Tamandua tetradactyla: one gene and its partners. The protein of the gene in region 3 purifies or fractionates together with the protein of the main gene of each other region. This does not show direct contact. Links are inferred from orthologs where the notes say so. Each region holds a gene or a part of one and is shown on either strand. Other genes may lie near its edges.

Region 1 (7,929 bases), on a different chromosome or scaffold from region 3:
GATAATATGATCCCAATATCTTTGGGTTTTTGAAGGTACTAGTTATTAACAAAAGGCTAATAATCCCTTGTCTGCTTCCTAATGACCAGAGTGGCCACCAGGTCGTGGCACTAAACACTCCATCCCAAAGAGAAACACTCTGGTTCGAGGTCCTCCAATTCCTATGGGTTCAGGACTTCTGGCTGGAGCTCCAACTCTATGGGAGAATAACTGGAAAAAGTGTGTCACTTTGGCTTCTTTCATACTAATAAAATCACTCATTATCCTAAGTGCAGCTGTTAACATAAATGAAGATAAGAACTCAGTCTACATTGCCTAAAGATTTACCACAAGTCCAAATATTTAGGTTACACAGACTGCATTCTCTGATTTACCCATTGCATACATTTGGAATTCCACACACCAGATTACCAAGGAACGATCTCTATACTAGTATCTAACTCTGAGGAAAGACAAGCTGTGTCACCTGGGGAAGCTTCCGTCACTCATCTCTCTCTCCCTATCCTTCCTCCCATTTTCCTCCCTTCATGTTCTAAGCTTTGCCTTCTCCTTAGTCTTAATGGAAAGTCCTTTGACCATTTATATAGAAGGGATGGGAAGGAGGCAAGAGACTGAAGAACCATCATACCAATGAGAGCTTTTTCATCTAAAGGCCATTCTGCCCATACAGTCCAAATGAGGTTTACCTGTGAGATAAACTAGGCACAAAATGCTACCTGTGAGGAAAACAGCATAAAATCTCACGCACAGGACTAGGGAGCAGAAGCAGGAGTCCCCAACAGAGCTGTCCACATAGACCAGCATGCCTCAGAATGTTCTAATATACTATGAAGTTTCAGAATAAACAAACAGTTAATGACACATCTTTTGTAACACATGAATCAGCTACTGATTTGCAAGAGTGGGCGCACCCTAATACCTATGACTCTCAAGTACCTGTTTGAAAGTGGACCATGATGTCTAAATTGCCAACCCATCCTACTGGGACTGGAATGAAATTTTAGAACTATGTGGTCTGTCATAATTTAAAGTAAAAAGGATGAACACATCATTACAATGGAAGTTAATTTAAGAACTTCATTAATATGTTATTACCAATAATCAAGAGAAGTAGCAAATACAAAATGAGGAATAATCAATCAGTCCTAGCAAGCAAGCACAATATTAATTTTTGACAGGAGAGGAGTACCACATGAGGTGGTTGAAGAATAGCAAATTCAAGAATTAGAAAGTTCTCGATTCTAAATAAAAAATAAACAAAATGAGGCCAATAGTGGAAAAATACTGTCTTACCTTAAGAGGCATCCAAATAGCATTCATAGTGTCAGGAACAGTGCAGGCAATACCCAAAAACGAACAAGAAGGGAGTCTTAGTAATTCCCTTAGATTCACCAAGTATGAGCAGGTAGGAAAAATTTTTATTGTTTCAGGAAGATATCTGAAAGAGAGGACTTTCACTTAGATTAAAAAATGCAGAAGAATAAGCAAACAGTTTAAGCTTCCTGGGCAGAGATTTGAAGTACTATTTGCCTTACTTTTCTAAAAAGATGTACAAAACACACTTGCCTTTTGAAAGAGGGCATCTCTCTCTCTCTCTCTGTATTTATATACATACACACACATACATATACATAGTTCAGATAAAAAGAGAAATTAATATATAAAACACATTTTAGATAAAATGAAATTGCTTCTCACAGAATATAGAAAACCAAAATATAAGTGAAAAGTAATGATTATCCAGGGCATTTCATCAACATAATTAAAAAATTTAATATCCTAAAAATGACTTTTGACACATTTAACTTAGTAAATTAAAATCTCTCTGATCATTCAGATTGTCCTACATTTTATTCAGCTTAAATGTAATTTCAGAGAAGATTCTACCTGAAAAATAAAATGTATTCTTGACTAAAACATTGTCAGCAAATAAAAGACCCTTCTTCACTATAGATCATTAAAAGCAGCCCAAACAATTTAATTTTAAGGATGAGAAGGGAGGCAAGTTTGCCCGGGGTCAGGAGGATGGACTGAATGCCCTCTTGCAGGATCCTAGGCCTGAATGAAATTCCAGCTTAACCAGTTACTGCTTCACTTAAAATGGAGGCTTGCCCGAGTAGGGACAAAAATGACAGCACCCACCTTTGTAAAAATAAATTTCGAAAAATCAAAGGCTAGAGAACTCCCATTTAAAGAAAATTAAAACCTTTGGAGTGGATTTATTCTTAACTATGCGTTTGTCACTTCGGCTTGGAAGACTTGGCATCACTTTCCTTACTGCTCATCGTATTTTTTTTTTTCCTTTGGGGGTGGGAGGGGTGAGGGGAGTTTGACTCTCGACCCAAGTCGCAGTCGGGTTTAATATGCCCTCCCACGATCCCTACCTCAGAAGCATCGGGAGAGAGAGACCGGGAGTCCGAGTTCCCACCCCTCCCCCCACCTTGGACCCTTGTCCCAAACCTAAGCTCCCCCCACCCCAACCTTCTCGCAGTGGGGCGACTCGTCTTGCCTTATTCCCGTGGTTAAGGAAAGGGCGAATGGGGAGGTGGGCTCAACGTGGGGGTCGCTTTCGGCCGTTGCCCCGCTGGCCTCAAGAGGGGCGGCCCGCGGGATGCAGCTTCCCTTCCTCTCCGCGTCGGTCCGTCCCACCTCGGCTCGGCCTGGCGCCCCGGGCTCTGCTCGGTGTCCCCGGCCCCGGCCGGCCCCCGGGCAGCCAGACCCCTTGACCATTCGGCCCGCGGCGCGCCGCCCAGGCCTGCGGGTGGACGCGGGGTGAGGGTCCCTGTGCCCACACACGCGTCCCCGCTCCCCCAGTCCTGCCGCTGCCAGGGCCCTCGGCGGCGACCGTTCCCCGGGCCGCTCGGCCCCCACCTCCAGGCCGGGTCGCCACGTCGGGCTCTCCCCGTCGGGGCCACCTCCCTTTCCCCACCATCACCCCCACCCACTCGTGCCCCTACCCCCCGGGGTACCAGTGCCAACGGCAGCTCCCCCAGCCCGGGACCTACCTGCACGGCTCAACCAAGCCTAGAAGTGGGGGCGGGGAATCTTCCGCCCTCCTCCGTCTCTCATTGGCCCTTCCGGGGCCCATCATGAGCACCATTGGCTGATGGCGGGTGTCCATCAGAGCGGCGGGGCGGGACGGAAGGAGGAGAGGGATGCTGATGCCTCGGCGTCTCTGTCTCTGTGTATCTCGCTGTCTCTGTCTCGGCCTTTGGAAACCAGAGGCGTTTGGACGAGAGGACAGGAAGGGGCCCTGAGATGGAGGGAACAGACGGAGGGAATACTGGCAGCGCTTCACACCAGTCGGCCAGTCGGAACCCCCTACCCAAGTCCCCTTTAGGTCCTCTTCTCCATCACCCCCAGCTCCTGCTCCTCACCCCTGTAGGTTTTTCATCCAGGAAGCTACGTGATGAAAACTCGAGGCCGGAAGGGAGAGATTTAATGTATGGGGGAGATTTAATATATGTATGTAAATATATACACACATATATATATTTATATAGATATCGATATTATGGCTATAAAGATACATGCGTACGTGTGTGTAGTCAACCAGGTATAAGGTCATGATAGCCTGAAGAAGAAAGGGCACACATTTCAGAGACAGAGAAGAACTTGAGCTATAGCCAACATAAAAAGGAATAAAAAAAAATCAATCAAAGAGCTGATAACAGTGGTTCTCTCCTGGGAGGGGAGATGAAGCCTCGGGAGACCAAGTGGGAGAAAGACTTACGTCTCACATATCACCTTAGTTATTCTTTTATATCTTTTGATTTTTGTACCATTCACGAAAATTGCCAATTCAAAGAAAATTAATTGGTTAAAAATTTCAAATAATTCTAAGGTCAAAAAACTAGGGAAATAGACAAGATGGTTGTCCAGGAAATTTAGGAAAATGTGCAGCTTTGGGGAGGAGTCTTAGTTTTTAATACTGCAGTTCAAGATACCAGTGGTAAAACCAAACAGAGGTGACTCAGAGGCAGTTTAGGGTTATGGGATTTATGAGCAGATGAACAGACTGGATTCAAAAAGGTTTAGGATTCTCCACCTAAGTATAGTGGTTGATGATATGCTGAAGGATAAATTCCCCCCAAAAGTGTAAAGACAGCTGCATTTAAAGTTAAGAGTCTGAAAAAGAATCAGAAAGAGGGTCAGTCAAGTAAAAGAAACAATATTGAAAACGAATGAAAGTTAAGGGAGGGAGGGTATCCAGAAAAATAGGCGTGAGGCTTACTTTGGGCACGCTCTTTAGGCAACCATGTGACAGTAAGAATGAAAGCCAAGAAAACATCCATAAAGCAGGGTTTTTAATTTTGTCCATGCATGGCAAAGCATGTGGACCCCTTCTCAGAGTAATGTTTTTAAAGGAATTCGAAGGAAACCAATCATATTGAGATACAATTACTAAAATATTTTAAAAGTGTGATATAATAATGTATGTGCTTTTATTAATGCATTAAATAAGACCTAGCAGAGAGTCTAATGACTGCCATAATTTTGAGCTAGTGAATGAGCATAAATGGTATTTCAAGATATCTGCAACTGTGATATAATATGAAAATATTTGTGCTTTCTCTTGGAGACAAGATCACTGGTCCTGTTAATGCTCCTGTGATATCTTGTCTACATTCATGACTGAAGGAAATGCTAACTTTCTGTTAGACTTTAGTAAATTCGTGGTCTCCCAAATCTGTATACCACAGATTAAAGAACCCTACCCTAAGAAGATCATGTTCCCCAATCTCCACATGTCCACAGCGGCCTGGAACTTGTCTTCGCCCCTCATCCTTGTTCCTCTCTTCCTCTTCCCCACAAGCTCCAAGCACTCTTCACTTCCCAGTCCTGAATGCAGATGCCTGACATCCCTGTGACACAGGGGACAAGGGATCATGTGGAAGGATTGCAAGAAAGATAGAAACACATTGGCTTCCAAAGAAAAAAGAGAAAACTATGAGGTATATTCAGATCAGAGATGATGGGGAAAATGAGCCCAGGATAGGATATCATTCATTCCCAAGAAGGAAAACAAATTGTAAAAAGAAAACATCTTTATCAGTTATGAATTTTTTCTATGAGTTTATTAATTCTGCTTAGAAACACCTTCCATCAATCTCCTTATTTCATATACCTGTAAAATGGGGTGAAAAATAGTACCTACCTCTTAGAGTTGTGCCAATTAAAATGAGTGAATTCATATAATGGATTTAAAACACTGTCTGGCACAAGCTAAACACACAATTTTTAACAATCATTATTATTATATTTGGCATCTTGTATTGTAGAGCATTCATGAAAATGCTGGTATGATTATCCACATTAATGTCACGTACAATAACAGATTAAAAGCGATAAGAGGGTTAGCACAAAACACTGTTTTTCATTTAAATGCTTCAAAATTAGAACACTCCATTTCTTCCGGTGACATTTTCATTCCTCTAGGGAGAATATCCATGCTTCTTTAAAAGGATTGTAAACTCAAAAAGAACTTTTATTATTCATATTACAAAGGGCTAATTTCAATAATGTTGTATATGACTTTCTCCTACAAATAATAAATAAAGACCAGCAAATCCTTTTACACAGGTGGCAGTATTAACTGGTACAGCCATTTTGGTACAATCTAATAAAATTTAAGATATGCATACCCTAGGTCCCAGCAGTCCCACTACTAGATACATATTCTAAGGGAATGCATAGTTTTAAATATCAGGATTACTGTCAAGAATATTCACAGCAATGTTTTTCCTTATTACCTAAAACTGGAACTTTCCCAAATGCCTACCAAACATAAAATGGATCAATTGTGCTATATTTGTACAAAGAAAATTAACAAATTATGGTTATGTTCAACAACATGGATGAATTTTTACAAAGGTAACATTGAACACGCACAAAAGCAAACTATGAAAAATATGTATAGTATGTTTCCACTGATATAAACTTCAAAAGCAAGCAAAACTATATTATTTAGGGATAGGTGGTAAAATTATAAGAAAAAGCAAGGAAGTGAACACCATAAAAGTCAGGAGAACCAGTAGGGGTAGAGGGGTTTGTGTTTGACGGGTCTTGAGGTGGAGGGGGTGAGGGGTAGGGGGCTGTTCTACAGGGCTGGCAATATTCTATTTTTTCACCAGGGTGTTGAATACACAAGTATTTTTTCTATAACTTTTTATGTACAAAAAAAGTTTTATATACTTTTATGTATATATGTTAAATTTCACAATAAAATGCTAAATAATAATTTTTTTAATGTTTAGAAAAATGGACAAAGGATATGATGGAATTTAATTTTTTTTTCATTTAATTTTTTTAACCTGGGTTGGCCATCGCCACAAGTAAAGGACGTGACAGTAGAAAGGAAAGAAAGAAAGAGACGACGAAGAAACAACAGTACAAGCAGCTTAGGAGGAAAAACACGAAAAGAGCTGTAGACATCCCGGTCTGGTAAAGAAAAGAAGCATAGCAGGAGAGCAAGGAAAAAGCAAGTCTGTCAGTTCACACCGCAATTGAGGAGGGGGTGCACCGTTTCTGGAAGTACTGCAATACCAGGTCGATGAGTGGAGTGGACGGAGCAAGCTCCTATTCCATCTCCCAGCTCCAAAAATCCATTTAATATATTGTCCTCGGATAGAGGACGTATCAGACATTAAACTGATAAGAACAGATACTACACTTGATCTTAGCCAAAAGGCCGAGACGCGATATATGATGGAATTTAACAAAAAAAAAATATGAATGACTCAAATAAAAGATGCTCAACTTCGCTAAAAGACATACATGTGAAACTCCACTGAGAAACTTTTTTTTCCATCTAAGGTCACAAAGATAAAGTTTGCCAACACATTATGTTGGCAAGGCAGTTGGGGAAATAGGCATTTTTGTAAATTGCTGGTGAAAATATAAATTGTTACAACATCTCTGGAGGACAATTTGACAGTAGCCATCAAAATTATAAATGCAGATGCCCTTTAATTCAGCAATTCCACCTCTAAGAGTTTATTCATTCCTCAAATATGTATTAAGCACCTACCATGTGATAGGTAACGTTGTTATGCCTTGAAGTTTATCCTACTGACATACTCTCTGAAAAGTCTGGACACACGAGGATGTTTACTTCATTATCATCACAGAGTTGTGCATGGGGAAGAAGGCTTAAATCTCAACGCAGAATATAATTAAGATTATGTCAGAGCGTTTAAATAAAATGAAAAAGTATAATATTTTCCCTGCTGCCAAATGTTTAGATATCCTGTATATACACAGTTAACAGGTTTGGTTTTTAACAAACAATGTAAGCAAAATATGGGGAAAATAATACCTAAATGCCCTTCATTAAAAGACTGGTTAAATAAATTATAGTTTGACCCCCCACTCCATCACCAGGGTGGGCAGCACGGGCTTTGAGACCTGTGCAATTACGCAGGCCCCTGTGCTCAGAAGGGACCCCGGCTTGGTTCAATGTTCAGCTTGAAAATCTTTCCTGAAAATTCTTAACAATGTTATTTTTGAACTTGTCAGATGGGACATTGTGTGTGAGTAGAGGAGATCCAAGCAATTAGAATGTCACCATTCCTTGCCACCCCATTTAACTACAGCGTTTGAGATGCCGGGAAAGCACAGAATATTGGTGGACCCGTGATAGTCTGGAAATTGTGCAAGATTCAAAGTCAGTGCGAGGTAAGCTGGTCCATCAATCACTGAGTAACCCGGATGCTGACTGCTCCCAGAGGCGGTGCTTTCCCCACTTGCTTCCAAAGCTGAAAGACGGTGGCGAGCTAAGATACTTAAAAGGACCAAGGAACCGTGTCATCTCCTTTTTTCACTCATGTTATCTTCCTAACTTAGCCAGCCACTTATGAAATGATGACATAAAGGGAAAAGAAAGGACAACCCACAGTTCTTGCAGTCTTTCTTTACAAATAAGTAAGC
Region 2 (8,053 bases), on a different chromosome or scaffold from region 3:
TGCAATACCACTAGGGACCCACCCTAGACCTATCAAATCAGAATCAGCATTTTAACAAGATCCCCCTCCCCCCGAAATGTATATGCACATTCAAGCTTCAGAACTACTGATGTAGAATACTTTAAGGCTGCACTATTCAGCAGTACAGTGACAAAGTCAAATAGGCAAAGAAAGAGACAAAGTACCTCTTCACTTTCTATATACCACATTTTATTAGGTACCGTTCAAACAGTCCTTCAATATTTTTTTTTAACATGGGCCAGTCCTCCAATATTTTTAATGAATTTGTTATTTACTAATAACCACACAATTTAAAAGCGATATCTATTTTACATTCTCCAAATAACACAACTTGGCTCTAGGGCTTTCATACACATAAAATATAAAACAGCTTAGTTGTTCTGAAAATACGATAATGGTTAATTTTATTCAAGTTACAACACTGAGTTCAGAGCACTTCTCCACAAGCCCCTTTAATTCCTATGGGTTCCTGAGAGTATCATTAAATCTCTCAGCATCCCTAAGAGGCAGGTGCTTGACAAACATCGAATCTTCAAATGAGATACAGAAGGACCAGGTCGTGAAAATGCAGTATTTTCCTGCCTTGTCCTGCCGGTGTGGCTTCTCAGACCCAAACTCTCTCCCCCACTGAGGTTTCATACAGCTGCACCCTCAAGCACTTTCCAAAGGGGAAAAAGGTCAGAGGCATCACTATCCACAAGCACTTGAGACTCCAGCTGTGAGAAATTAAAATAGTTGGGGGTTCAGGCTGAGAAGCCCCGAGTAAGAACCGGAAAAGCATAAGGAAATACAGAAGAAAGAACCTACTAAGAAGCACTTAAGAATCAAGGGGCCCCTGATAATTGTAGATTTTAAAGTAGGGGGAGGAGGATTAAGAAGGCTTGACAGATCTAGGAGAGGATGTTTGGGGACAGATACATATTCATCCCCCACCCAGGGACAAGAACAAAGAGTGACCCACCACATGATTTCAAATGTTTTCTTTTCTTAATAAAAGGAAGAAAGCAATGTAGGGAAGAAGTTTATGGGCTACGAGCTGGGCTACAAAAATCTCTTGAGTTTTTTTCCAGTACAGGGAAATAAAGCTAAGGAGAAAATAGTACCTAATCAGAATCCTACAGGAAGCAAACCACCAGGAGGATAAAGAACCTGTGGAAAGCCAAAGAAATGCAGGGGATTCCTTTCCATTTTGAATCTAACATGGAGGGGAGTGGGGAGGAAAAGGGGCAGCAGACAGTCCTGGACTTGAAACCACCTCCAGCAACAAGGAAAGGGAAGGAAGGAAGAGGAAAATCTCTACAGCCACTCGGTAAGCCCAAAAGGAATTAGAAACCAGAAAAACGCCCAGAGAAAGGGAAAGCCAAGAGAGAAGAGTTCCTCTTTGCAGAAAGATAAGGATAAAGTTGACAGACAACAACAAAAAAAACAGTGCTAGCACCCCCACTGGGAAAGAGAGAGGGGAATTCATGAGCTGTGACTATAGGAAATGTGCTCTTTAAAAAAGCCCACAGAAACAGAAAGTGGTAAGATGTTGAACAAAGATTTGCACTCACCACAGAAGAAAGAGAAAATGGGGTACACTGGTTCAGACAGGGAGAGCATCTAAAGAGAAATATGGTTCCACAAAGGGAGAGAATGAAAAAGAAAATGTCTTCCTTGCTTGGCAGAAAAACTAAAAAGGGTAGGGAATTATGGAATGGAAGCATTCTCAAGAACCACAGACCACTGCCCAGGAATGAGAAGACTCAGGAATAAGATGTGTCCTCCAGATTTAAGCATCAGGAAGGTGGCTGCACCTCAAGAACTGAATACCCCAAAGAGAAATGTGAAAATGAGTTTTCCCAATGAAATAAGGCAGTTTGATTTGAAGAACTCATGAGAAGGATGCAACCTGAAGAACAGAGTGACTGGAAAAGCAGTGAATTCCCAGACTTCTGGAACTGGAAATAGATGCTCCTAAGTTCAAGATTTGAACATTTTGGGGAGACTCTGAAAACAGGGTGCACCCCTAAACTTGAAAGGCAAAGATAGGGAAGTGACCTCCAAATTTAAGAAACTTGGGAAAACGTGCCCCCGGATTTTAGGGCCTGGAAAATGGAATTCTGGCTTGCATTTGTTGGACTCTAAAATACCCCAAAACGGTGGATATTGGACCCTCGGTATGACCGACTCGTTAACCCAGCGAATCTCCAAATTTGAAAGAGACAACTATCCAGGCTGAGAGGTTCAAAAAACGGCAGTAAGCTCCCATTTGGGAGGTCTGGGGAAAGAGGGTACACTCTCAACTTGGGGGAGCTTTCAAAGTTGAGATAAAACCCCAGGGCTGGAGCTTAAGAAAGAGGTTGCGCCGCCAATACATGTTATACAAAAAAGGGGGCAGTCCTATATTCGGGGTCTTGAGAAAGGGGTGTGCTCCCCAGAATAAAACAAAACAGTCAATAAAAGAAAACGCGTGTTCCCAAAGCACAAGGCAATTGAAAGAGCCAGTGATGGGGCTCTTAGGGGAGCCCCACACATCCTAGGTTGGGTTCCTAGCTCTTATCCCCCACCCCCAACACGGCCCAGCTCCGCGCCCAGAGCCCGCACCCCGCGGCCCAGCCCCCTCGGGCGGCACTGATTGGCCGCAGCTGCCGTCACTTGCACGGGCAGCACCAAGGATTGGGCGCCGCTTGCACGCCCGCCACGCTCTCAGCAGCGGTCCCCAGGCCTCCCTCCCGGCCGGGCAAGCTGGGGGCCAGACCGGGAGCAGAGCCGGGCAGGGGACCCGAGGAAAGGTGGCGTCCGTCACCGACCCGGCCCCAGTTGGCCTACTGCGGCGCGCCACGCCTCGCCGCGAGCTCACCTCACGGCCCCGGTCTGGCTGCGCCGCTCCAGGACCAACCGACAGAAGGACTCTGCGTGCTGCGCACCACGTGACCCCGGGACGCGCCCAGCGTATCCACCGCCCCCCACATACACGCACTATCGCCACCACCGAGTGACGCAGCGGCCCAGCTGCCCCGCCCTCCGCCCCGCCCAGTCACCGCGGTGACGGCCCGCGCGGACCACGCCCACGGTCCTGACGCGCGGGAACCAGGCCGGCGCCTGGGCCCGGAACACGAAGTCCAGGCTCGGCGGTCACCGCTATCACACGAAACCCGGGACTGAGCACTATCCATCACCTGTCAATTTAACCTCCTATTTAACCTTCTCGAGGCCACCCACTTCTTCCCCGTCCCACTATCACTTCTCTTCTAGATGATGGTGGTCTCCTCCCTGCTGAAAACATCATTCCTTCTATCTGCATCCTTCTTATCCTCTGACCACGCTGACTTCTGTCATTTTCTGTGACCCTTTCCAAGCTTATTTCTGGTCCATTGAATAAGCTGTTGCTTTTTGCAAGGCTTAACTCTTCCTCATGCTGGTTTCAGTTTCATACCTCCTCAGTGAGGAACTCTTTAGTCACATTATGCAGAAGTGTTCCACTCAATCACACGCCTCCCCCATGGCGATTACTCTGCTTTACACAGTTCATTTTCAGTGGAACACTTAACATGGCTTGTAGATATTTCATTTGTTTGTTCTCTTGGTTGTATTTGCCTATTTCCCGTATTATAGTCAGGGACCACATTATTCACTACTGAATTGTCAGAACCTGGTGAATAATAGATGTTTAATGTGTATCTGTGGAAAGAATGAAAGGAAATGGAACAGTATTGGAAAAAAAAATTAGCAGGTTCTTCTTTATAACTTGAGTCTCAGCTGAGGTAGGCAAAGCAGAAGATGAGGTATGGGGGAACCAGGGACAAAAGTTTCACAATTTGAGAACCAAAAACATGTGTATGATCTCAGCCAAGTGCCCAAATGTTGGAAGAAAAGACTTTTCCAGGATCCTCTGGGTTTATGCTTATTAACAGGAAATTGCTGACATGTCAGTGGCTGTTGTAGTGTATCAAGATTTTTGTTCCACAAACAGCGCTAAGAATCCCAGACTCTGTAGCCCCATATATACATAACATCCATTTCTCCACTTGTTTCACCTGCACATGTTGAGATCCAGGTTTGAGCTGGGCACCAAAGACACAGAGTAGAATGAGATTTAAGTCCTGTTTTTCAAGAAGCTCACAGCCTTTTAAGGAAATTGCCACAACTAGTAAGTGATCATTCTTTTTGTCTGTTGCAAATACAAACACTGACACTGACTATCAGAAACAAAAAAGAAATATATTACAAGAGTATTAGGGCCCAGAGCACTAGCCAGAGGGTAGGCTTGGGAAACAAACAACATGAGAACAGTTCAAGAAGCAGCTGCTACTGCCTTTGTCTTTGATTCACTCACTCAAGAGGCAAAGTCCTGGCCTGGAGCTCCTGTTGATTGGCCAATCTCAGGTCACATGGATTAGTCCAGCCTGCCAGGGGAAGAAGAGAGGGATGATCTTCTCCTTAGGGTATCCTCCCCTCAGTGGAAACAGGGGGATTGATATTGGCCAGAAAAAAATAACCTGATGCAGATATAAGTAAAGTACTTTGGGACTTAAGCTCTTTCTGATTAAAAAACCTGACCTTCCACCTTCTTCTGAACTGGACACTCACTGGCTGCTAGCCAAAAAGCTCCAGTTTGCAATGTTCTCATTTAAAATTCAGGTTTTACCACTGCCTCCTTAGCAGCGTCTTTCTACCTGAGGTTTTCTACCTGAAAATTCTCCCCAGCATCTCAAGAACAGTTGCTTTCAATCGCCCAATTATTTACTGGGCAGAACCTTTCTTTGCACATGATAGGCAATCAACTAATACGTGTGAATGAGTGAGGGAATGAGTGAATGAGTCTCAACTCCAGAGGGTAGAATCTCTCGTGCTATTTAACTAACTATTTCAGAAGTGTGGTCCCAGACCATAAGCTTCACAAAAAAATCCTGTATGTATACAAGATAAACAGTAGCACAAGAAGCATTCAATACCAGCATGGAAAAGAACTTACTTTCCCTAGGCATCAGTTTTCAACAGTAAAATGAGATAATATCTACTCTTACAGAATTGTCAGATTAAATGAAATGGATGAGAAACTGTAAACACTTGCTCTATGCAAATGATTTTAGGATCCTTTTCTTACAAGATCCATTGTCTAGAGATGTCAAAATGTGCCTGGCTAAAGAGAAGAACTAAAAACCTAACACCAGATAGGATTTCAATTAGGAAACTGATCTTTCTCTGCCTCCATCCAGTAAACCTTTATACTCTGATCTTATGCAACCCAAGACATTTATAATATGTCTGTCAAGGAGAAATTAAAACAAAAACCAGGCCCCTTAGCTGTGACTCACAGTCCTAGACCTGGTGGACTTAGAGTAAGTTTGTCAGCCCCCAAGCTTGAGCATTTCAGTCCCCAAATCAAGAACTGTGGTATGATCTCTGCAGCACTAGGCTGAGTGTGAGAATTCAGGAAGCAGGAAACCACAGTCACAGCAGCAGCCTAGGTCCAAGCACCTAGACAAGGCATCAGGGGCCTGAGGGAAACAGGCTCAGTCTTGTCCCTGGCCTGAGGTTTCTCCTGTCAGGGCCTGATGGAAAGCTCCTATCTCCCTCAGGCTTTACCTACTCTCCAAACAAGGGGGAGGAGAATTAAGAAGGAATTAAAATTTATTTCCAGCATTTTACAAGATTATAAGGAAGAGAAGTGAGAAGGAAAAGGGAACATTTTTTATTTCTCCCCGTCACTAAGAAGAGTAATAAATTGCACTTGGAACACTTCAAGGACAAGAACAATATTCTGTCTCCTTTGTCCCTTGAGTGCCCTAGTACCTAGGACTGTCCCCATGTAATTTAAGCATACCTAATAAATGTTTCTTGTGGGCTGAAACTCACACCAGCCCAGAGATAAAGGAAAAGGGGGAGGAGTTTAGGCCCAGGGACTGAGGGAATGGAGGTTATAAAGGGGTTTTAGTTTGCTAAGGATACAGGGATACAATACACCAGAGATGGATCAGCTTTAATAAAGAGGATTTATTTAGTTACAAAGTTACATTTCCTCAGAAGAAAGGTAGCTGGGTTCCTCTGAGTTTCTCTGTCACATGGGAAGGCACATGGTGATGTCCCCTGGCCCTCTCTCCTGGCTTCTAGGTTCAAATGGCTTTCCCAGGGGCATTTTTTTTCTTCATCTCCAAACCTCTGGGTCTGTGTCAGCTCTGAGTTCTGAACTGAGCTGAGCTCCTTTTCTCTCTTTTGATCTCTCTCTATTTATTTTTTTGTTATTTTAAATGTTTTTAATTGTGAAATATATATATGAAGTAAAGAAAGAAAAAGCAATAATTTTTCAAAGTACACTTCTACAAATACTTACAGAACAGACTTCAGAGTTTGTTATGGGTTACCATTCCACTATTTCAGATTTTTCCTTCCAGCTGCTCTAAACCACTGGGGCTAGAAAGAATAATAATATAGTGATTCAGTAGTGATATTCATTTGTTAAATCGTATTTTCTCTGTTATACCTCCTCCTTCTCCTCTGATTCTTCTCCCACTCTGTAGGGATCCTTAGGCAATGCCCATTCTGACTCAATTAACTGATAATTTTAGAGAGGCTGGTCCCTTTGGGTTTCAGGATTTATATGGCTTAGGAACCCTCTGGAAATTATAGGTTCCAGGAAAGCAAACTTAGTGCATGAAATTTGTACAGAGTCTCATTTTGAGCCCTAGGTGTTCTTTTTTTTAAAAAAAACTTTTTTTAATAAAGAAGTCATAGGTTTACAGGAAAATCATGCAGAAAATATTGAGTTCCCATATATCTCCCCTATTATTAATACCTTGCATTAGTTAGTTTGGAATATTTGTTACAACTGATAAAAAAGTATTCTTATAATTTTTTTTCAAAACTGAATACTTTTTTTTAAATTTTTCTTAATAACCTAGGTATTCTTAAGAGTTAACAGGAGTGATGTTTATTGGGATTTAGCTAACTGAAGCTTCGTAAGAGTAGCCTCCAGAATACCCTCTTGACACTATTTGATGTCTCTTAGCCACTGATGCCTTATTTTAATACACTTCTTTTCCTCCTTTTGGTCAAGAAGGAATTGTCTCTTCTGAACTCTCCTTTTAAGTCTCCAGCTAATTAGATTAAACATCACTCTTGCAGGTGTAACACCCATAGATGATTTCACATGTTGATGATTTAAGTTCACAGCAACAGAGCAATGGATGCCATCATCTAGCCAAGTTGACAGCTGAACTTAACTACTACAAAAGGCTAAAGAGGTTAATTAAATAAAGACTCTCTGAATCTCCAGGTACCACATTTCACTCCCCAATTTTTTTGTAATTTCACAATTAAATAGTTAATGCTGTCATATGGTTCAAATATCAAAAATTACATAATACGTATATAATACAGAGACTTCCTCAAATTCTTGTCTCTCATCAGCCAAATTACCAGTGGGATAACCCCTACTCTTACTTTCTTAAGTATTCTTCCAGGGTTTCTTTATGCATATATATATATATAGGCAAATTTGAATATAGGTTCTTATTTAGAACCTTTTACACACAAAAAAGCATTTACACATGTTGTCCTCCACTTTTTTCACTAAACACTTTTTTTTGTATACTGTAGAGTGGTTTCTCATTTCATTATTTTTCCATGTGAGTATCCTGTTACTGAAGTACCATTTGTTGAATTTTTATTCATTTGTTTTTTGGGAAAGTGCATGGACTGGGAATCGAACCCGAGTCTCCTGCATGGCAGGTGATCGAAACCGAGTCTCCCACATGGCAGGTGAGAATTCTACCACTGAACTACCCTTGCACCCCCACTAAACATATTTTGAACATTCTACAAAACATTTTATACAAAGGTATAAAAATCACTTCCTAATTTGTTTTTGCTGCATAGTATTCTTTATGTGGAAGTATCATAATTTGTTTAATCAGTCCCCTATTAACGAACATTTTGGTTGCTTCTGGTCTTTTGCAATTTATAAACAATGTTCCACTTACAAACAGCACTGCACATATATGCAGACTGTAGAATAAATTCTTAGAAATGGGAGATCTGGGCCCCAGCA
Region 3 (7,087 bases):
AGAGGTCAGAGCCGGACAACCTGTGCTTATGGCTTTGTGACCTGCAGATCAAGGACCAGGCAGATGAGGCCCAGTACTGCCAGCTAGTGAGACAGCTGCTGGATGACCATAAGGATGTGGTGACTCTCCTAGCTGAAGGCCTGCGGGAGAGCAGGAAGCACATACAGGTCAGTGCAGTGAGGGCTCAGGCCTGGTGGGGGTCTGACAGGGCGCATGAGGGTTCTGAGGCCCCTCTCTTTACCAGGATGAAAAGCTCGTCCGCTATTTCTTAGACAAGACATTGACGTCGCGGCTCGGGATCCGCATGTTGGCTACACACCACCTGGCGCTACATGAGGACAAGGTGGCGGGCTGGAACCTGAGATCCGGCTGGGGGTGTCAGGGGAGCCAAAGGCTAGAGATCTGGGTCAAGGGCTTAGGGGAGAGGCTTGGGGCTGCTTCGGTGCAGGCAGCTGGTGGCTGAGGAGGGGGGTGGAGGTGTTGCCTAGTCCTGACCCGCTTTCTTCTGCCAGCCTGACTTTGTCGGCATCATCTGCACTCGCCTCTCGCCAAAGAAGATTATTGAAAAGTGGGTGGACTTTGCCAGGTAAGGCTGAACAACCAAGAGGGTGTATGTCTTGGGGACAGGGAGGAGTGGAATCTGAGCCCTTGCCTGGCGTTTCTCAACGCCAGCACTACGGACATTTTGGGTCAGTAAGTCTTTGCTGTTGGGGGTATGGCGAGGTGTTATGTGAATGCTAGGATGTTTCATACCACCCCTGGCTTCTACACAGTTGACTCTGGTTGTGACAACCAGAAATGTCTCCAGACATTGCCACACGTCTTTTAGGGAGCAGAACTGCTCCCAGTTGAGGACCACTGGTTTAGGGACACCTGTCTGGACACATACTCCTATTCACAGACGCCTGTGTGAGCACAAGTACGGCAATGCCCCCCGCGTCCGCATCAATGGGCATGTAGCCGCCCGCTTCCCTTTCATCCCCATGCCACTGGACTACATCCTGCCCGAGCTACTCAAGAATGCCATGAGGTAGGCTGGAGAGTATGTACTGGGGGTAGGGAAGGGAATGTGAACTGGGGTGGAGCTGGGGTGCCACCATCTCCCGGCTCTGTCCCTTCATAGAGCTACAATGGAGAGTCACCTGGACACTCCCTACAACGTCCCTGATGTGGTCATCACTATCGCCAACAATGATATTGATCTCATCATCAGGTCTGTCCTGAGTGGGAGTTGGGCTGGGGTAGACAGGGGGTTCCTGGGCACTGTTTCTGACTTGTTGGATGACCACAAGCCAGTACCTGCCCCACTCTGGGATCTAGTCCCTGGTCAAACACGACACTCCCTAGTTCTGAGATTATCTATGAACTGATATTAAAGAATCTGGAGCTAACTGCTGACCCCGGGGCCCTGCTCCTCTCAGCAATTCAGGGGTCTATTGTTGAGAGACAGTCAGGAGTAACAGTTGATGATGCTGGGCTGAGAATAAACATCCAGTCCTGTGAGAAGGGCTAGGAAGTTGGTGGTACGGGTGGACGCAAGGGTAGAGAAAGGCAGATAATGCAGACAAGGCCCAAGGGTCTGGGGGAACCACATTCCACCTCTGGTGGAAGGGCCAGGAAGGCAGACAGCACTATCTGATGAGAGGTGGTGAGCACCCCATCAAAGCTGACCCAGACCCATGACATGGGCATTCTGCCAGGATTTCGGACCGGGGAGGGGGAGTTGCTCACAAAGACCTGGATCGAGTCATGGACTACCACTTCACAACGGCCGAGGCCAGCACCCAGAACCCCCGGATCAGCCCCCTCTTTGGCCACCTGGACATGCACAGCGGCGGCCAGTCAGGACCTATGCACGGGTGAGGCACCCCCTGACCAGGATGGAGGGAGGGGTCCCTGGGGACTTGAGTCTCTGAAGCCCCCTGTCCTGTCCCCATGCCCACCTTCAGCTTTGGCTTCGGGCTGCCCACGTCACGGGCCTACGCGGAGTACCTCGGTGGCTCCCTGCAGCTGCAGTCCCTGCAGGGCATTGGCACGGACGTCTACCTGCGGCTGCGCCACATCGATGGCCGGGAGGAAAGCTTCCGCATCTGACCCCGGAGCACTTGGTCTGCATGCCTGTCTAGCCTGGGCCACCCTCTGTTAGGACCTTCCAGGCCAGGCAGGTCTCCCCCTGCTCCACACGCTGCTGCATCTTGGGTCCTAGGTCCCCAGACAGGTGGACTTAAGTGGAGCTGGGAACCACCCCCCACTACCTACCCACCTAAACAGGGACTACTTCCCTGCCTCCAGGCTGTGGAGCAGGGAAGTGGGGACTCTTGAGGCCTCCAGCAGCAGCTCCATCATTCTCGTTCCTGAGGGACTCTCACTTTGACCTGCTGTTTATTAAAGTTCACATTTTGAATGCCCTTTTGGGCCCCATGTGTGGGGAGGGCAAGTGAGCTCTTGCTTCTGGCCCTGTTGATGTTCCCTGGGCCCTTGGGTTTAACTGGGTCCTTCCCCAGTCTTTAACTATTCTGATGGCCTAGCAGACCAGGAATGGAAATTGAACCAAGTTTCTTGCACATTGGTTTGACGGGAGCGGGGTTGACTGGCAGTTTATGAAAAGACCTATTACTCATTTAACAAGTGTTTCTAGATCCCAGAGAAGTATTGAAGGTCTGTGTTGGCCCGGCTCCAGGCCTCAGTTCTGACTCTTCCCTTCCTGCTAGTCACGGTTTCTAGAGCTGAAGGTCACCAGACTGAGCAACTTCCTGAGCCACCTGACTCCTGAGCCTCAGTAAGGTTAAAAATACTGCCTGCTAGCTGTGTCTCCTGCTGCCAAGGAAAGGAACACACAAGGTTGTGTCCTTGTGGGCCTTAGCAGGAACTGGGTGCCCCACTAGAGGAAGGGAGGCCCTGATATGGGTAAAAGGAAAGGGCTCCAGATAGCAGGTGGGCTCAAGGTTAGACTTGAAGTAGAGCTTCTTGTGAGAAGGGAAACTCCAGATGGAGTTTTAGGTGGGAGCCCTTGCCCATCTTGCCAGAGGAGGAGAAGGAGGGCCTGAGGACCTGTCTGGTGGGTCTGGGGAAGAAAATCTTAAACCTCTGTCTCCTGCCTTCACATCTGAGAGGCCTAGTGGCTAACTGCTTGAGGCCAGCCCTCAGCTTACTCTATCTTCTACCTTTCATGGTGACGCATGGCCGTCGGGGTGGGGGTGGGTTGAGGGGAAGGACAAGAAATTGTATCTGGAGATCAAATGGCAGGTGGTAGGAAATCATTGATTTGCTGGGCTGAAAAGCCTACTGGCTGCAGAGCAGGGAGGTGAGGCTGGTGAGGTGGTCAGAGGGCAGAGCCTTGAATGTGTAGCTAAGAAGCTGGGGTGTTTTCCTGGAGGCAGTGGCATCAATGGACGGGTTTTAAACTACAAAGGGAATATCTCAGGTAGGATTCCCTAGACATAGATCCTGCGAAGAGCATTGGTGTCCAAGAAAGTGCTCCTAAGAGAGACCCAGAAGGGATCGAGGGAAGCAAGAAAAAGAAGCCAAGCAAGTATTATGATCTGAGGCAAAAGTCCAGAGCCAGTTAAATTATGTCTTAGAATTGAGGCCTGGGAACTAAACTGAGTCATTAACTACTTGCCTATCCATGGCTAAACGCTGTGTTGGGAAATAGAGGAGGAGAGCTTTTCTAGGCAAAACAGCTCTTGGCCCCTGGGCAGGTCACTAAAGAGCCTCAGGTGCTGGCCTGTGAGAACACATCAGAGGGAAACTGGGCACACGGAAAGAATGAAAAGAGGTCTCGCAATCTGGCAGAGCTTCTGCCTAGTCCTAGGAGGAATAGTCAAATGCGCATGGGCTAGTGGTCTGTAGTTTTGGGGTAGAACAATGAGGGGGCTGACAGTGTGACCCTAAAAAGCCCTAGGCTAATCCTTAATTAGAAAGGACAGCATAGGTACCTGAATTTTTCAGGTGAAGTGTGAGGCACTGGGACCCTGGATAAGTGGGACAACAATCTTAAAGATACAAGGGGGGTGGGGGAAGGCATTAGAGTTTTTTTTTCTTGCCTGTTGTTTTTTCTTCTGCTTCTTATGCTGTCAGACGTTTGGCCCTCACTGGCTCCCACGTGCCTCCATTTCCCCAAAAAGCCAATTTACCAACACTTCCCACCGCTACTCCTCATCGATACCCAGCTCTCAGATATTTATTGATCCTCTGAGTATCCCACTCCTCTCATAATTGTCTAAGCCCAGTAACCAAATTATAAATCAAAGGTTGAGAGAGTGGTCAAAGAAAACGTTTGTTGCGCACTGGTCTTGACTGGAGTATGCAAAACACTTTAACGTGTCCAGTTTAACCTCTACCGAGGCTCAGAGAGAAAAGGCACTTACTTGTATACCCTACCCAGGAATTTAGGGGCAGGGTAGGGTCAGAACCTACAAGACGCTCTCCATTGTATCCATTGCTTTTAATTTATGCTCAGGGAACGTCTGGTTTGGAGGGGCCTGGACCTTTCTTTAGAAAGCCTTTATTCTGTAAAACTAGTTTGTTAACTCTCCCTGGACACATTTATCCTGCTTCCTTCACCCCAACTCAACTCCCAGCTCGAGCAAGGGAGACAGTTTCTACACTCTTCAACAAAGGGCGCTAATGTTAAGCTGGGGGAGCTGGGTAGCATGGGGAAGGAGGTTAATTCCAGGCTCAGAGAAGGCCTGATGCCAAAAGGGAAACACTGCGACATTATCCACAACCCCGAAGCCAGACAACAGTGGAGGCCACGCAAGCTCTGGCCCACGTCTTAGCTTCCTCTTGGCACCAGGGCCTTTGAAAAGACAGAGCTGAGTCATCACATCAGGGAAGTCTTTCTCCTCTCTTCGACTCTAGGGTGCGGCCATATTTCTAAACGGAACCTAAGGAACTCAAAGGCAAGCTGCGCAGTAGATGTCAGCTGGTCCCGGCGCCGCGGAGACGGTCATATAAACCAATGGAGTCCTGCTACGTCACAGAGCCCGCCCCCTACCCCGCCCTGAGGCTGACTCCGCCAAGCAGAGTTAACCCGGAGCTAAATACGCGGCGAGGCGCGGGTTTCTGACGTCACTTCCACTACAGCCATGGCGGCACAGGGAGCGGCGGTGGCGGTTGCAGCGGCGACTTCAGGGATCGCGGGGGAGGGCGAACCCGGGCCTGGGGAGAATGCGGCAGTCGAGGGGACCGCTCCGTCCCCGGGCCGCGTCTCTCCGCCGACCCCGGCACGCGGCGAACCGGAAGTCACCGTCGAGATCGGAGAAACGTACCTGTGTCGGCGGCCGGATAGCACCTGGCGTGAGGGCGGGGCCCAGCATCGGGGGCGGGGTTTTGAGATCGAGGGGCGGGGTCTGGGAACGCGAGCTCAGAGGACCCCAGAGCTGGGACTGTAAGTTGTTGAGGGCGGGGCGGGGGGTGGGGCGGGACTGAGGAATGAGAACGCGGAGTTGGGGGCTCTCGTACTCTGCGTTACTTTGGATTCCTTCCCGGGCGTCGCCTACAAACCCCACCTGTCAGGCAATCATCAGATTCTTTTTCTTCTATGCAGAGTTGTTATCCCACATTCTTGCCCTATCTTAGGCTTCTCTCTTTTTCTTGTTAACTCTGCTTCCTCACTGGTCGTTTGTCTTTGGGTCTTCCCAGTCCATCCATTCCCTATGGCCTCCAACAGAGAGGAGCTGAAAAACGAGCTTCCCCTTCCCTTGCCTTCACTCATCTCCAAAATGAACTGCAGACTCCTTAGAATGACATTCATCCCTGTGGCCTGCTTTCTGGTTTTTAGTTATCCCTAACAACAGCTTCATCAGACCAGACTGTCTGTGCCTTCTGAGGACCACCTGTGGCTTCTGCTTGGAATGTCCTCTCTTCCCTTACTCCTTGCTCACCAGGCTAGCTCCCACTCAACCTACTCATCATATCCTCTGGGATGTCATTCCTGACCCCCTTCAGGCAAAGTGAGTCGTTCCCTTCTATATGTACCTACAGTATATTCCTCATACCTCAGCTATGGTATATGTAATGTTGTAATTGCCCGTCTGTATCTTCCCCTACAAAATTGGGAATGTCTGAAGGGCAGGACCTGTTGTGATTCATTGCTGTGTCCTCTGTACCCAGCAACGTGGGATGGGGTCACACAGTGGTTACCTTACTTGTTTATTGACTAGTTTGCTAGATGTCAAATTCTGTACTAAAAACTTTACAGACATTAACTCACCCTCCAAGGTGGGTACCATAATGCCTGTTTTCCAGAGGAAGAAACTGAAGCACAGAACGCAGAAATACCCTGTGTATTTCTATATAGCTAGAAAGTGGAGGAGCTGGAATATAAACTCAAGATGTCTGAACCCAGAGCCAATTCTCTTGATGCTCCAAATAAATGAATGATGGTATAAATAGTTAAACAAGCATGAGTTTGTAGTTATACTTAAGCTCACCTAAGTATTGGCTCTTCTCACTTTTCAAACCTGTGACCCTGGGTAAGCCTCAGTTTTCTCATTTTAATCTAAGATAGCCTGCCATTGCACAGAGTTGTAGCAGAGTGAATGGAATGACAAATGTGGATGGATGGGTGAGGCTACATGTGGCCCTGGAGTCTTCAAACTACACTTCAGTTGCTGGATCCCATCCCTTCCTTGCTTCCTAATGATACTAACCATTTTCCTTCCCAGATTCTGCTGAAGTGATCCAGTCTCGAGTGAATGACCAGGAGGGCCGAGAGGAATTCTATGTACACTACGTGGGCTGTGAGTAGTTTGGGGTGCCCAGGGCCTGGGGGGAAGGGGTGGGCTAGCAGGGCAGCACCCTCATGGTTCATCCCCACAGTTAACCGACGACTGGACGAATGGGTAGACAAAAACCGGCTGGCACTGACCAAGACAGTGAAGGAAGCTGTGCAGAAGAACTCAGAGAAGTACCTGAGTGAGCTGGCTGAGCAGCCTGAGCGCAAGATCACTCGTAACCAAAAGCGCAAGCATGATGAGATCAACCATGTGCAGAAGGTCCGGGCCCCTTCCCTTTCCCTGGGGTCCCAGGAGGCCCTGCTACTTCTACCAACTCCTGTGGGCCTCTTGAGCACCAGTGCCAA

The links.
Region 1: the proteins of KAT8 (region 3) and KANSL1 purify together in Homo sapiens (affinity purification with western blotting; 4 studies listed by BioGRID and IntAct, with this or other methods). This does not show direct contact. The link is inferred for Tamandua tetradactyla from reciprocal best matches to the Homo sapiens genes KAT8 and KANSL1.
Region 2: the proteins of KAT8 (region 3) and PHF20 purify together in Homo sapiens (affinity purification with mass spectrometry; 3 studies listed by BioGRID and IntAct, counting the BioPlex papers as one, with this or other methods). This does not show direct contact. The link is inferred for Tamandua tetradactyla from reciprocal best matches to the Homo sapiens genes KAT8 and PHF20.

What each region holds. Positions count from the first base shown.
Region 1 is NC_135332.1:20,449,532-20,457,460, reverse strand, and holds the start of KANSL1 (KAT8 regulatory NSL complex subunit 1), read right to left. Parts: upstream 3,081-7,929; 5' UTR 3,006-3,080; intron 2,649-3,005; exon of another isoform or gene 2,510-2,648; intron 1,439-2,509; 5' UTR 1,294-1,438; intron 1-1,293. UniProt on the Homo sapiens protein: Non-catalytic component of the NSL histone acetyltransferase complex, a multiprotein complex that mediates histone H4 acetylation at 'Lys-5'- and 'Lys-8' (H4K5ac and H4K8ac) at transcription start sites and promotes transcription initiation.
Region 2 is NC_135327.1:16,734,083-16,742,135, forward strand, and holds the start of PHF20 (PHD finger protein 20), read right to left. Parts: upstream 3,001-8,053; 5' UTR 2,864-3,000; intron 1-2,863. UniProt on the Homo sapiens protein: Methyllysine-binding protein, component of the MOF histone acetyltransferase protein complex.
Region 3 is NC_135349.1:23,435,011-23,442,097, reverse strand, and holds the start of KAT8 (histone acetyltransferase KAT8), read left to right. Parts: upstream 1-4,032; 5' UTR 4,033-5,090; coding exon 5,091-5,301; intron 5,302-5,429; exon of another isoform or gene 5,430-5,929; coding exon of another isoform or gene 5,930-5,957; intron 5,958-6,671; coding exon 6,672-6,746; intron 6,747-6,825; coding exon 6,826-7,001; intron 7,002-7,087. Other genes in the region: BCKDK (branched-chain alpha-ketoacid dehydrogenase kinase), read left to right, coding at 48-167, 245-343, 513-586, 902-1,030, 1,124-1,213, 1,701-1,859, 1,950-2,094.